Linked DNA regions of Ovis aries. Each later gene encodes a partner of the first gene's protein in a complex. Links are inferred from orthologs where the notes say so. Each region holds a gene or a part of one and is shown in the gene's direction. Other genes may lie near its edges.

Region 1 (5,224 bases):
CATAGGAAGTTTTTTATTTATTAAAACAGGAGCTGCTGCTGCTGCTGCTAAATCACTTCAGTCGTGTCCAACTCTGTGCGACCCCATAGACGGCAGCCTACCAGGCTCCCCTGTCCCTGGGATTCTCCAGGGAAGAACACTAGAGTGGGTTGCCATTTCCTTCTCCAATTCATGAAAGTGAAAAGTGAAAGTTAAGTCGTTCAGTCGTGTCCAACTCTTAGTGACCCCATGGACCAAAGCCTACCAGGCTCCTCTGTCCATGGGATTTTCCAGGCAAGAGGACTGGAGTGGGTTGCCATTGCCTTCTCTGAAAACAGGAGCAAAAGAGGCCAAATAATTTGAAAGATAATTCCGATGTCCAAGAGTTCACTCCTTTCTGCACGGCCCATTTCAATCTTAGGTGTTCACGAATTTAACCAAAGGTAGAGCTGCCCCCGCCCCCATGAGTCGGGTTAATGATTTCTCAAGGCAGAACTGGGGCTCCCAGGCCAGTGCGGCAAAGGCAGACCCTTACACAAGGGTGCTTCCCTGAGGGTTTGCCCAGATCCAGGCTTTCCGGCAGCCTTAGGAATGTCTGTGCTAAACTGTGACCTAGAGAGGTAGGGAGATTCCCACTCACATAGCAACTCCAATTGAGTGGGAACCCACAGTGCCAAAGCGGAAGGATCAGAGCTGCGCTTGGCTCAGCGGGAAAGAACCAAGAACCGGGGAATCAGAGCTCACCTTCCAGCCCCCCGCCCCCACCGTCTCCTCTTTCCTGTCGCTATGGATCTGACCTCTGATCCCCGGCTTTTCCCTTACTGGAGGCTGTGGGTGAATAGCCTCTCTGGGCCTTGTCGTAAAGTAAGTCCTTCCTGGCCCACATCAGAGGACACAGTGAAAGCTGATGGGGCAGAAGCTGATGGGGCTCTGAGGCACTGTCCCTGGGCCGTCCACTCCTCAGGACTAAGTCTTTCCCTCAGCAGATCCTGCAACTGGGGGACGGCTTTATCCCCAGAGAGCAGGGAACTGCGGACTATGTCAGAACCATGGTTACTGTTCAGACTTCAGAGTCTCCTAAATTTTGCTGTGTATTCTTCCCTGCCTGGTCAGTGAGACTAAAAATAGAATGGAAAAGGATAAATAAAACATGTACAAGTTGCAAAAGAAAAATGATTGAAGGATTGCCTCGTCTTTTAGAGTATTTATGCTGGTGACAGTTATTGATCTACTGGATTTAGTAAATTTTGCAGCCCAGAGATCCATCACAAAAATGGGTTGTTAATCTCAAGAGGTGCCGTTAATTTCGTACCCTGAGAGTGTGCCTTGTGGGGGAAGGAGGGCCTCCAGAGACAGGAATATAAATGACAATTCACGTGAAAATGCATGATTTATCAAACTGCTGAGTTAAGCCAAGTAACTGTAAGAGACTTATAGATCTCAGCTGTTTCCCAGTTCAAATAAATCCTGTATTTCAAATGGAAAATGGCCATTCCTGTAAGATAAATAATCTTTCCGTAAATATTGAGAACATATTTCTTTTTCTGAGCAGCACCCTTCTCGCCCCACAGCCCGCTTCCCACTCCGTCTCCCATTCCCTGTCATGGTGCATCAGGAACAGAAAGATAATCTGCCGCCTTCTCCGGTGGCTGCAGTTACCACGGCAGGAACACCCGAGAGCGCGGCAGGGCCCGTGGAGCTCTGCTGAAGTGAGTCAGACCCAGGGCTGAGAGGCGGGAAGCCCAGCGCAGCTCTGGCCTCACTCAGCCCTGCTCGCTGGGCTGGCTGCTCCTCGGCCCATGAGTCTCCAGGATCGGTGACCCTGACGCGGGCCGTGGGACCAGCCTTGAGCACCGTCTCGAAAGGCAGCGTCTCAGAGGAAGGGTGCAGCTTGCAGGCAGCCTCTGTCCCTCCTCTTGCCCTGCCTCCTGGCCCCGCAGGCCTCGGGGTTGTTGCTTCCTGCCGAGCTGTGCTCTGGCACGTCTGGATCCCTTGCGGAGGCCACCGTTTCAGTTCTGCAGGAGCAGCGTGCTCTGCTGGCCTCCAGCTATCCTCTCAGCGTCCCCAGGAAGTCGGTGCTGGTTGGGGGGTCCGTTCCCAAGAGAGCGGAGCTCCGGGCCTGAGTGCAGGAGGTGTAAGAGGGAGTTGGGTGTTCACATGTGCCGTGTTTTATGTGAAGGCTCTCCTGCCCGTCTTGTACCACACTGCCCAGCTGCAGCCCCGCGTCATCGTTCCCACCACCAGGCAGGGGTGTCCCACAGTTAACTCCGCCCTGACCCTGTCTACCTGGTAACAGCATCCGATCCCCGCAGCTTGAGGGCTCTGCCCCACAAGACTGCCCCCACTTCAGAACCAGGTCCCACGGGCTCCAGACCAGAGGATCCCCTGATCCCTCCCTCAGGTTCAGTGAATTTGCTGGAGCGGACCCAAGAGAAGTATTTTACTTACTAGACTATCAGCTTATTAGACAGGGATGTAACTAACATAGGAGCAGCCAGGTGGGAGACACCTGCAGGGGAGGGCAAGGCGCTGCCGTGCTCTCTTGGCACTGGGCTCTGCCCCCATCGCCACGTGTTCTCCTGCCCAGAAGCTCTCCAAACCCTGTTCTTATGGGGGTTTTGTGGAGGTCATTACATAGGCATGGTTGATTAAAGCGTTGGCCACTGGTGAGTGAGTCAGCCTCCAGCCCCTTCCCAGAGGTCAGGGATGGGATGGAAATGTACACCCTTCTAGTCATGTGATTGGTCCCCTTGGCAACCAGCCCCTCCCTTGGGAGTTTTCCAAAAGTCACCCCCCTTAACATAAACTTAGATGTGGTCGTAAGGGGCTTGTTATGAGTATCAGGAAACCTTCATAGCATTTGGGAAACCCCAGGTGTTTTAGGAGTTCTCTACCAAAAAAACAAGACATTTCAGACCAAATGTGTAATTCTTAACTAGAAACCATACTATCATAGGCAGCTATAGGAGCTGTGCTTTATGGAAGGGGGTGGCAATGAGGGGCACTCGGGGCTGCCTTGCTCAGCCCGGGTCAGGGCAGGGAGGGGCAGCAGTGGCTTGCAGCCTGTTGGCGTCTGTTATCCGTGCTCAGAGGTCGCACGGAGAGCTGATGTGGGAACCTTCTGCCCTGCTGCAAGGCCACTCGAGTTCCACCATCAGAGCTGTCTGTCTCCAACAGCGGGATTGGCCTTGAGGCTTTCGGGAGGAATGCCTAACTTTGAACTCTCCCCTTTCCAGGCTCAGCGGGAGAATGGGGGGCTGCACGTGGCCCCCAGCATGCCTGTGGCCCCGCCAGCCACCCCTGTGCCCAAGACCTGTGATGGGCCCCCGAGAGTGACACCCACCTCCCCGGCCCCCGAGGGTGGGGATGGGCCCCCCAGTCCCCTGAGCGAAGCATCCAGCGGCTACTTCTCACACAGTGTCTCCACCGCCACCCTGTCGGACGCCTGTGGCCCGGGTCTGGATGCCATGGCCTCGACCCCTCCGGGCCCCGGCCTGGCCGCCCTCGAGCCCCCGGCTGCCTCGGTGGAGGGAAAGACACCAGGCAGCGGTGCAGCCCTGGCTCCAGCCGGGGCGTCTGCAGAGAAGCAGAACCAGGCAGCAGGCCCGCCACCACCACCCAACCAGGCGAGCAGGAGCTACCCTGCCGCCTCCCAGAAGCCAGAGGACACCCAGCCCCAGGGGAGACCAGTCCCCGGCCCAGAGCCCAACGTCTCCAGGCCACCGCCGCCCTCAGAGCCCCGGTTCCAGCCACCTGCTCCCGCCTCTCCGTTCAGGATCCAGAAGGTGCGGACCTCGGAGCTGAAGTCGTTCACGCGCATGCTTGGCGGGGACCCCGGCGGCCCCTTAGGGACAGCGGAGGACCCACCGGCCTCGGGGGACCTGGGGGATGGTGGCGCTGGGGTTCAGGCCCTGGGAAAGCTGGAAGTCTCCTCAGATTCGGAAGAAGCCAGTGAGGTCCCAGAGTGGCTCAAGGAAGGAGAATACGTGACGGTGGGCACCAACAAGACGGGCGTCGTGAGATACGTGGGGCCCACCGACTTTCAGGAGGGCACCTGGGTTGGAGTGGAGCTGGACTTACCTTCAGGTGAGTGATGCTAGTTTGGGACAGGTGCCTGCCCCCATGCCCACTGCAGTCTAGCTGAAAAGTGTGGGCGCTGCCTAGCACCTGCTGTATGCCCTTGGGCACATCATTGACCTCTCTGAGCCCCGCAGTTAACACTTTTCAAAATCAGGAGTTTTCGCTAGATAAGGCTCTCCTAAGTGTTTTAAGAGTCAGATTCTCTCTCTTTTTATAACTTGCAGAGATTTGTCACAAACTTAAGACATTCATTGAAAGCTACTAAATATTAATTCGATAATGAATTTAAATCCTGGGGTTTAGGTTTTAGTCCCAGAAACAGCTGCGTCTGAAGTGCCATAGCAGCTCTGTGTGCTGCGCTAGCTCAGGTTGCGAAGGCTGATGCCCGCGTGGAGGCTCAGACGCCTCAGGTGTTCCCCAGACATCCCCAGGCTCCTGGGCCCCCAGCAGGAGGATGGAAGGAGAGGTGTCTCCTGTATAGAACGGCTCACCTCCAAGCCAAGACATCATCATTTGCAGAAAAACTGAGGGCAGGGCTTAAAGAATTACTTTCCTGTTGTTTTTTAAAAACTGAGATACAGTTGATTTACAGTATTAGTTTCCAGTGTACAAACTGGTGATACAAAATTTTTATAGATTATACTCCATTTAAAGGTATTATAAAACACTGGCTGTATTCCAGGTGCCATATGATGGATGCTTGTAGCCTACTTTATACACAGTAGCTTGTGCCTGTTAATCCCCGACGTCTGTCTTGGCCTCTCGCTTCCCTCTTTCCAGCTGGTAACCATCAGTTTGTTCTCTGCACCTGCGAGTCTGCTTCTGTTTTGTTATAGTCCTTTGTTTTATTTTTTCAGTTCCACACTTAAGAGATAACACGCAGTATTTGTCTTCCTCTATCTGACTAATTTCACTTAGCATAATGCCCCCTAGGTCTAGCTACATTGTATATAGCAAATGAACTGCAGGTTGGTTTTTTTTTGTTTTTTGGAAATAGTTTTATTGTGATGCAGTTCACATAACAAAAAATCCAGAAGTTTAAAGGGTACAGTTCAGCAGTTCGTACTATATTTCCAGAGTTGTGCAACCTGATTTTACAATGGGTTTTCAGTTCAGTTCAGTCGCTCAGTCATGTCCGACTCTCTGCAACCCCATGAATCGCAGC
Region 2 (5,224 bases), on another chromosome or scaffold:
CCGCAGGGAGGCCGGGCGGGGCGCTGAGGCGGGGGTGCCGGGAGGGAGCCGTGGCCCTCACCCTGCCCTGTGCCCAGGCCCCCACCTTGTCCCCACCCCGGCGCACGAGGGTTCCTGCTCAGAGGACCTGGGCTCCGCGCGAGGGCCCCGGTGCGCCTGGTCCTCATGCCCCCGGGCCTGTTGGCCTTGCATCCCGGCTTCCTCATTCCCTGCGGGGGCCGTGCTTTGGCTCAGAGGGCGCGCTCCTGGGAGGCGGGGGCACGGTAGCCGTGCCGGGTGGGCCGGGCCCCGGGTGCAGCCTGCTCAGGGCCCTGGGCAGGCGCTTTCCTGGATCCTCGGTGGCAGCCAGGGGACGCTCGCGGGGAGCGCCTCTGCAGGTACGTGTTCTCCGCGGTCCCACGAGCCGGTGGACGGCAGTCGTGGGCAGGGCTCTTCTGTCAGGAGCCCCGGCTCTGGAGGGCGTCGGGGGTCCCTGACGCGCAGCGTTCCCTCCCACCGCTCCCCGGGAGGCTCGGAGCTGGGGGCCTGGCGTTCTCCCTCCCCAAGCCTGCTGTGTTGGCGCTGGGGTCCCCACGCGCCCGGGGGCCCAGGACCTCGGAAGCCTGGTCCTGTCCACGGGTCGCGGTGGGGGCCTTGGGGTGGGGCATGTCCCAGCGCCCGCCGGGGCCAGCGGGTGGTCATGGAGGCCTGGGGGACACAGCTGAGTGGGGCCTGGCGGCACAGGGGCTGTGGCCGGGCCGCCACCCTCTGGCTGGAGAATCCCCTGGGGTTCCACCCAGAGAATTGACGTGGTGTCTGTGGGCCCCGCAGGCAGGGGTGCAGTCAGGGGATGTGGGCAGTGGACAGGAAGCGGTGTGGGGAGGATGGGCCTGCTTACAGCTCTTCTGAGCTGGCTGAGGCCTTGGGTCCAGGCCACCCCCGCGCCAGCTCTGCTTGGGACCCGCCGACGTGCAGGGGTGAGGCCGGGGCGGGGCTCCCGGTGGTCTCAGAGAGCCAGGCCCTGTCCCTGGGCTGGGTACCCCCCCCCCCGACAACCCGCTGCCCTGGCTGGAGCCCCTTCCCGCAGCCGCTGCCTGTCAGTGGCCAGAGGCCCCTATCAGGGGTCGGGGTTTGGCTGTGCCCCAGCCCCCAGCGGAGAGTCTGCAGAGGCCGGGTTGAGGGTCCTCGTGGAGACATGGCAGTCTTCCTCCTGAACCTGTCTGTTCCGTGTCCCGCCTGCTCTGAGAGTGGACGGAGCCCTGGCTCCCGGCTTCCAGTCTCTCCTCTGAGGCCCTCAGCGGGAAGCTAGCATTGGGGGGGGGGGTTCCTGGGACAACGGGGGGCTGGTCCTTTGTGGGGGTGGCCGGGACCCCTGCTCGGGGCCCTCAGACCCCGTGAACCTGGTGTCCTGTCCCCCTCGCATGGCTCCAGCAAGGAAGTGAAGCCCAGAAAGGGGGGTGGGCGTGCAGGCCTGTGGGCCGGGGTCCAGTACCCCCGTCTCAGGGGAGACCCCCCTGACGGCTGGCCTTGTCTTGCAGATCCTGACTGGGCCTCGTACACCCTGGGGGTGTTCATCTGTCTGAGCTGCTCTGGGATTCACCGGAACATCCCCCACGTCAGCAAGGTCAAGTCCGTGCGCCTGGACACCTGGGAGGACGTGCAAGTGGAGGTATGGCCGGGCCGGGGGGGCCGGTGGGGGGGTGCCTGCCTGCTGCCATGCGGCCTCAGGCCTCAGACCCAGCCAGGGGGGTGCGTGCCCGCTGCCACGGCAGCCTCAGACCCAGCCTGTAGCCCAGCCCGCGCAGGCCCCTGCCTGCCCGGTACCCCGGGAACCCACACGGGCCCCTTGTGGTCAGGGCGTCGTGGGTGACTCACACAGAGTCGCAGAAGGTAACAGGAGCCAGGCCTTGGCCTGCTGTCCGCCCACAGAGTCCCGGGCCCACCCCGGCCTCCGTGCCAACTCAGAGTCCACACGTACCCTAGCGAGGCCGCCCCGAGCACGCGGCCACACACCATGTGGCTGGAAGCACCCCCACGCTAGGGCCAGATGGGAGGGCGAGGCCACCTGGACACAAGCCCACAGCACGCGCACCTCGTGAGGAGTGGGGGACAGGGAGGTCCCGGGGGGGCTGGGCTGGGCTGGGGGTGAGGAGCGAGCGGGGTCTGGGGTGAGGGGCTCCAGCCTCTTCTGCTCTCTGCTCCGTGCTCCCTCGAGACCTCGAGGGGCCGGGGGCGCTGAGCCTGCAAGGCGCTGGTGAGTCCTGGGCCGGAGGTCATGAGCCAGGCCGGCTCCGGGGAGGCCCAGGGTGCGGAGAGCTGGGCACAGGGCGCCCTGGTCTGTTTGGCGTTTCTCGCTGAACTTTGTCTCTCTGTGGCACGTGCTCTAGAGCAGCTTTACTGAGATACGGCGCGCGCTGTGTGACTCGCTCTTTTAGGGGCGCTTCAGCGGTTTTTGGCACGCTCACCGAGCGTGCGGTCGTCCCCATCATCAGCTTTGGAACACTCCCATCACCTCAGATGGAGCCCGGGCCTCCGCTCCAGCCCGCCCCAGGCCTGAGCCCCGCACGGGTGCTTCCCCTTTCTGAGGCCGGTGACACCCACCGTGCGGCTGGACCCCGGTCGTGTTGGCGTGCACAGCTCCGGGAGTGCGGGGGCCCTGCTGAGGCTTGCTGTGCTCACGGGGTGCGGGGGGGGGGTCCTTCCCAGACAGCCCCTGGGCCAACGGATGGCCCCACGGACGCATCGTCCTGCCGGGGCAGCAAGGCGGCCTCCATTCCTGGAGGGGAAGTCGGAAGGCTCTGACTGTAACTTCAAGGATTCTGCCAGGCTTCCTCTCCTGGCCACGCCCGCAGGCCTCTGCCTGGCAGCCTCACTCAGGCCCCTCCCTGCCCATCCCCGCCTTGGGGGCCGTTGTAGAACCAGGTGTGACCTCCAGGCCCTGGGCTGGGCTGCCCGCTGTCACCAGCGTGGGTTGCTTCCGTTTTGTGGGGGTTTCACAGAGGCGGGTTCGCGGCCCTCAGAGACAGTAGCTGAAGACGTTTCTCGGAGGTTGTCCTGACTTTGCTCGTGGTGGTTTGCACGGTGGAAACTTGCAGGCTTTGCAGCGATCAAGTCTACCAGCCTTGCCGTCTGTGGTTCCAGGGTCTGCAGCACACCGAGGCGGGCTTGCTTCGCCCTCGACTATTTTTACTCAGAGCAGCCTGATCTGTGTTGCTCACACACCGCACCCCTCACCCTTCCAGAGTCTACGGTTTGGTGGTTCTCATGAATTCTCAGGGCTGTGTGACCGCCGCCATGATCTAATTTGAGAAGGTTTTCATATCCTCAAATGAGCCCGCACCCACTGGGGCCCCTCGCGGCCCCCGCCCCGGCCCTGCCGAGAGAGGGGCCCTGCCTCCCCGCGGTGGGTCTGTCTGTCTGGGTGCCTCGTGCCGGTGGACTCACCCGTGCGGTCCCAGACCCCCTCCCTCCTCTCGCTGAGCACCGATCTCTAGATCACCCCTGCTGTTGGGGTCTTGGCACTTCTTGTCACGGCGAGGTCACGCGGCCGCGTGGGGACCACAGCTTGTCCGCCCCTCACCAGCCGCACACCTGGCTTGCCCCGTTTTCCCAGGCCTTCTGAGCAGCGGGGTTCAGGGCAGTGCTGTGCCCTCCGCTCTCTGGGAGGGCGCGGCGCTGCCAGGCCTCGGGGTGACCGCCTGACGACTGAGGGTCAGCGGGCTCTGCCCACCACGGCGGCCTGGCCCGCTGGGAGCTCGCCAGGACAGCAGCCCCTCCGCGTCTCGTCTCGTCCGGCCTCAGCCCTCCTCGGGGCGTGCGGGGCGTCTCCTTGTGGTGTCGGCCCCGCCTCCCTGGGGAAGAGTGATGCTGAGCGCTGGTCCATGCGCTGCTTGGCCATTTGTGTCTCTTCTTTGGAGCAATGTTCATTCAGGTCCTTTGCCCACTTTAAAAATGGGTTGTCTTTTTACTACTAAGTTAGGAGATTTATTACTAAGAGCGCTTTATATATTCTGGACACAAAATTCCTTTCAGATTTAGTACTTGCAAGTAAGTCTTCTCATTCTGTGGGTTGTATTTTAACTTTCATTTTGAAATGATATTTTTAAAATGAAAAGGTATGGTTTATATTTTTAAGGAGCTATCTATAATTTTTTAAATCATTGGGGGGCAATTCATATAAAATCCATTTTAAAGTGAACACAGTGGGACATGTGTATGCTGGAATATTACGTGGCCATAAAAGAGAATAAAATCACGCTGTTTACAGCTATATCGATGACCCGAGAGGTTATCCTACCCAGCAAAGTAAGATAAAGACAAATACCACATGATGCCACTTCCATGCGGGATCTAAAACACGACATGGCTGAAGCTGTCTACGAAACCGCAGGGAACTCCCGGGCATGGAGGACAGGCTGCGGCTCCAGAGGGAGTGGGGAAGGGCTGGGGGTCCGGGGTCAGCACGTGCAAACTAGAACCGCAGGATGGATAAACAAGGTCCCGCCGTGCAGCTCGGGCGCTCTGTTCAGCAACGGGAGAGCGCAGACGCGGGTGCCTCTGCACCTTACCGCTACATCAGAAGTCTGCAGCGCTGTAAGTCAACCAGACCTCCGTAAAATAAGTGTTTAGAAAGTGAGTAGTCCAGAGGCAGAAACGCGCAGCGGGGAAAGGAGAGTCTCCTCTGTGAAAGGTGCTGGGAGAGCTGGACGGCCCGCACAGCGTGTCACACCGTGTACAAGAGTGAGTGACCCCAGACCATACAGCCCGTGGGAGCGAGCACAAGCCCGTGGCCGTATTGTTCTGGGTCTGCCTCCTCAGGCAGGGCTACAGAAGCAAAAATAAACAGATGCGGCTGCAGCAAATGAAAGCGGTTTTGCACAAAAAGGAAACTATCAGCAGGATGAAAAGGCCACCTTCTGGATGGCAGAGTGTTTGTAGACGACACTTGTGTTAAGGGTCATTGCACAAAATGTACAGAGAACTCACACAACTCAGTATCAAAAAGTAACAGACGATCCAATTAAAAACGGGCGGAGGACCTGAGCAGACGCTTCTCTGGAGAAGACACACGGTTGTCAGTCAGCAGGTGTGTGAAGGACGCTCAGCGTCGCCATAGAGAAACATTGATCCAGACTGCACCGAGGTGCCGCCTCACGGTGCGAAGCGTGGCCTTCGTTGAGAGTCTGTGGGTAACGGGCTCTCGTGGCCGCCCGGCGGTTAAGACCCCACGCCTCTAGGGCAGGGG

What was found. The genes of interacting proteins can lie anywhere in the genome.
Region 2: the proteins of KIF13B (region 1) and ADAP1 are in contact, whole or in part, in a crystal structure (PDB 3MDB), measured with the Homo sapiens proteins. The link is inferred for Ovis aries from reciprocal best matches to the Homo sapiens genes KIF13B and ADAP1. Residues at the interface, in NP_056069.2 of Homo sapiens: Val451, Asn452, Leu453, Asn454, Ala455, Asp456, Pro457, Leu463, Arg512, Phe514, Asn516, Gly517, Arg531, Leu533, Asn536, Asn537, Phe539; in NP_006860.2 of Homo sapiens: Trp137, Asn143, Gly144, Gln145, Phe146, Leu147, Pro186, Ala187, Lys188, Ile189, Gly190, His191, Pro192, His193, Tyr211, Glu213.

What each region holds. Positions count from the first base shown.
Region 1 is NC_056055.1:103,582,892-103,588,115, reverse strand, and holds part of KIF13B (kinesin-like protein KIF13B), read left to right. Parts: intron 1-3,215; coding exon 3,216-4,065; intron 4,066-5,224. UniProt on the Homo sapiens protein: Involved in reorganization of the cortical cytoskeleton. Regulates axon formation by promoting the formation of extra axons. May be functionally important for the intracellular trafficking of MAGUKs and associated protein complexes.
Region 2 is NC_056077.1:42,153,414-42,158,637, forward strand, and holds part of ADAP1 (arf-GAP with dual PH domain-containing protein 1), read left to right. Parts: 5' UTR 1-829; coding exon 830-956; intron 957-1,517; coding exon 1,518-1,648; intron 1,649-5,224. UniProt on the Homo sapiens protein: GTPase-activating protein for the ADP ribosylation factor family. Binds phosphatidylinositol 3,4,5-trisphosphate (PtdInsP3) and inositol 1,3,4,5-tetrakisphosphate (InsP4). Regulates the incorporation of CD63 and CD9 into multivesicular bodies.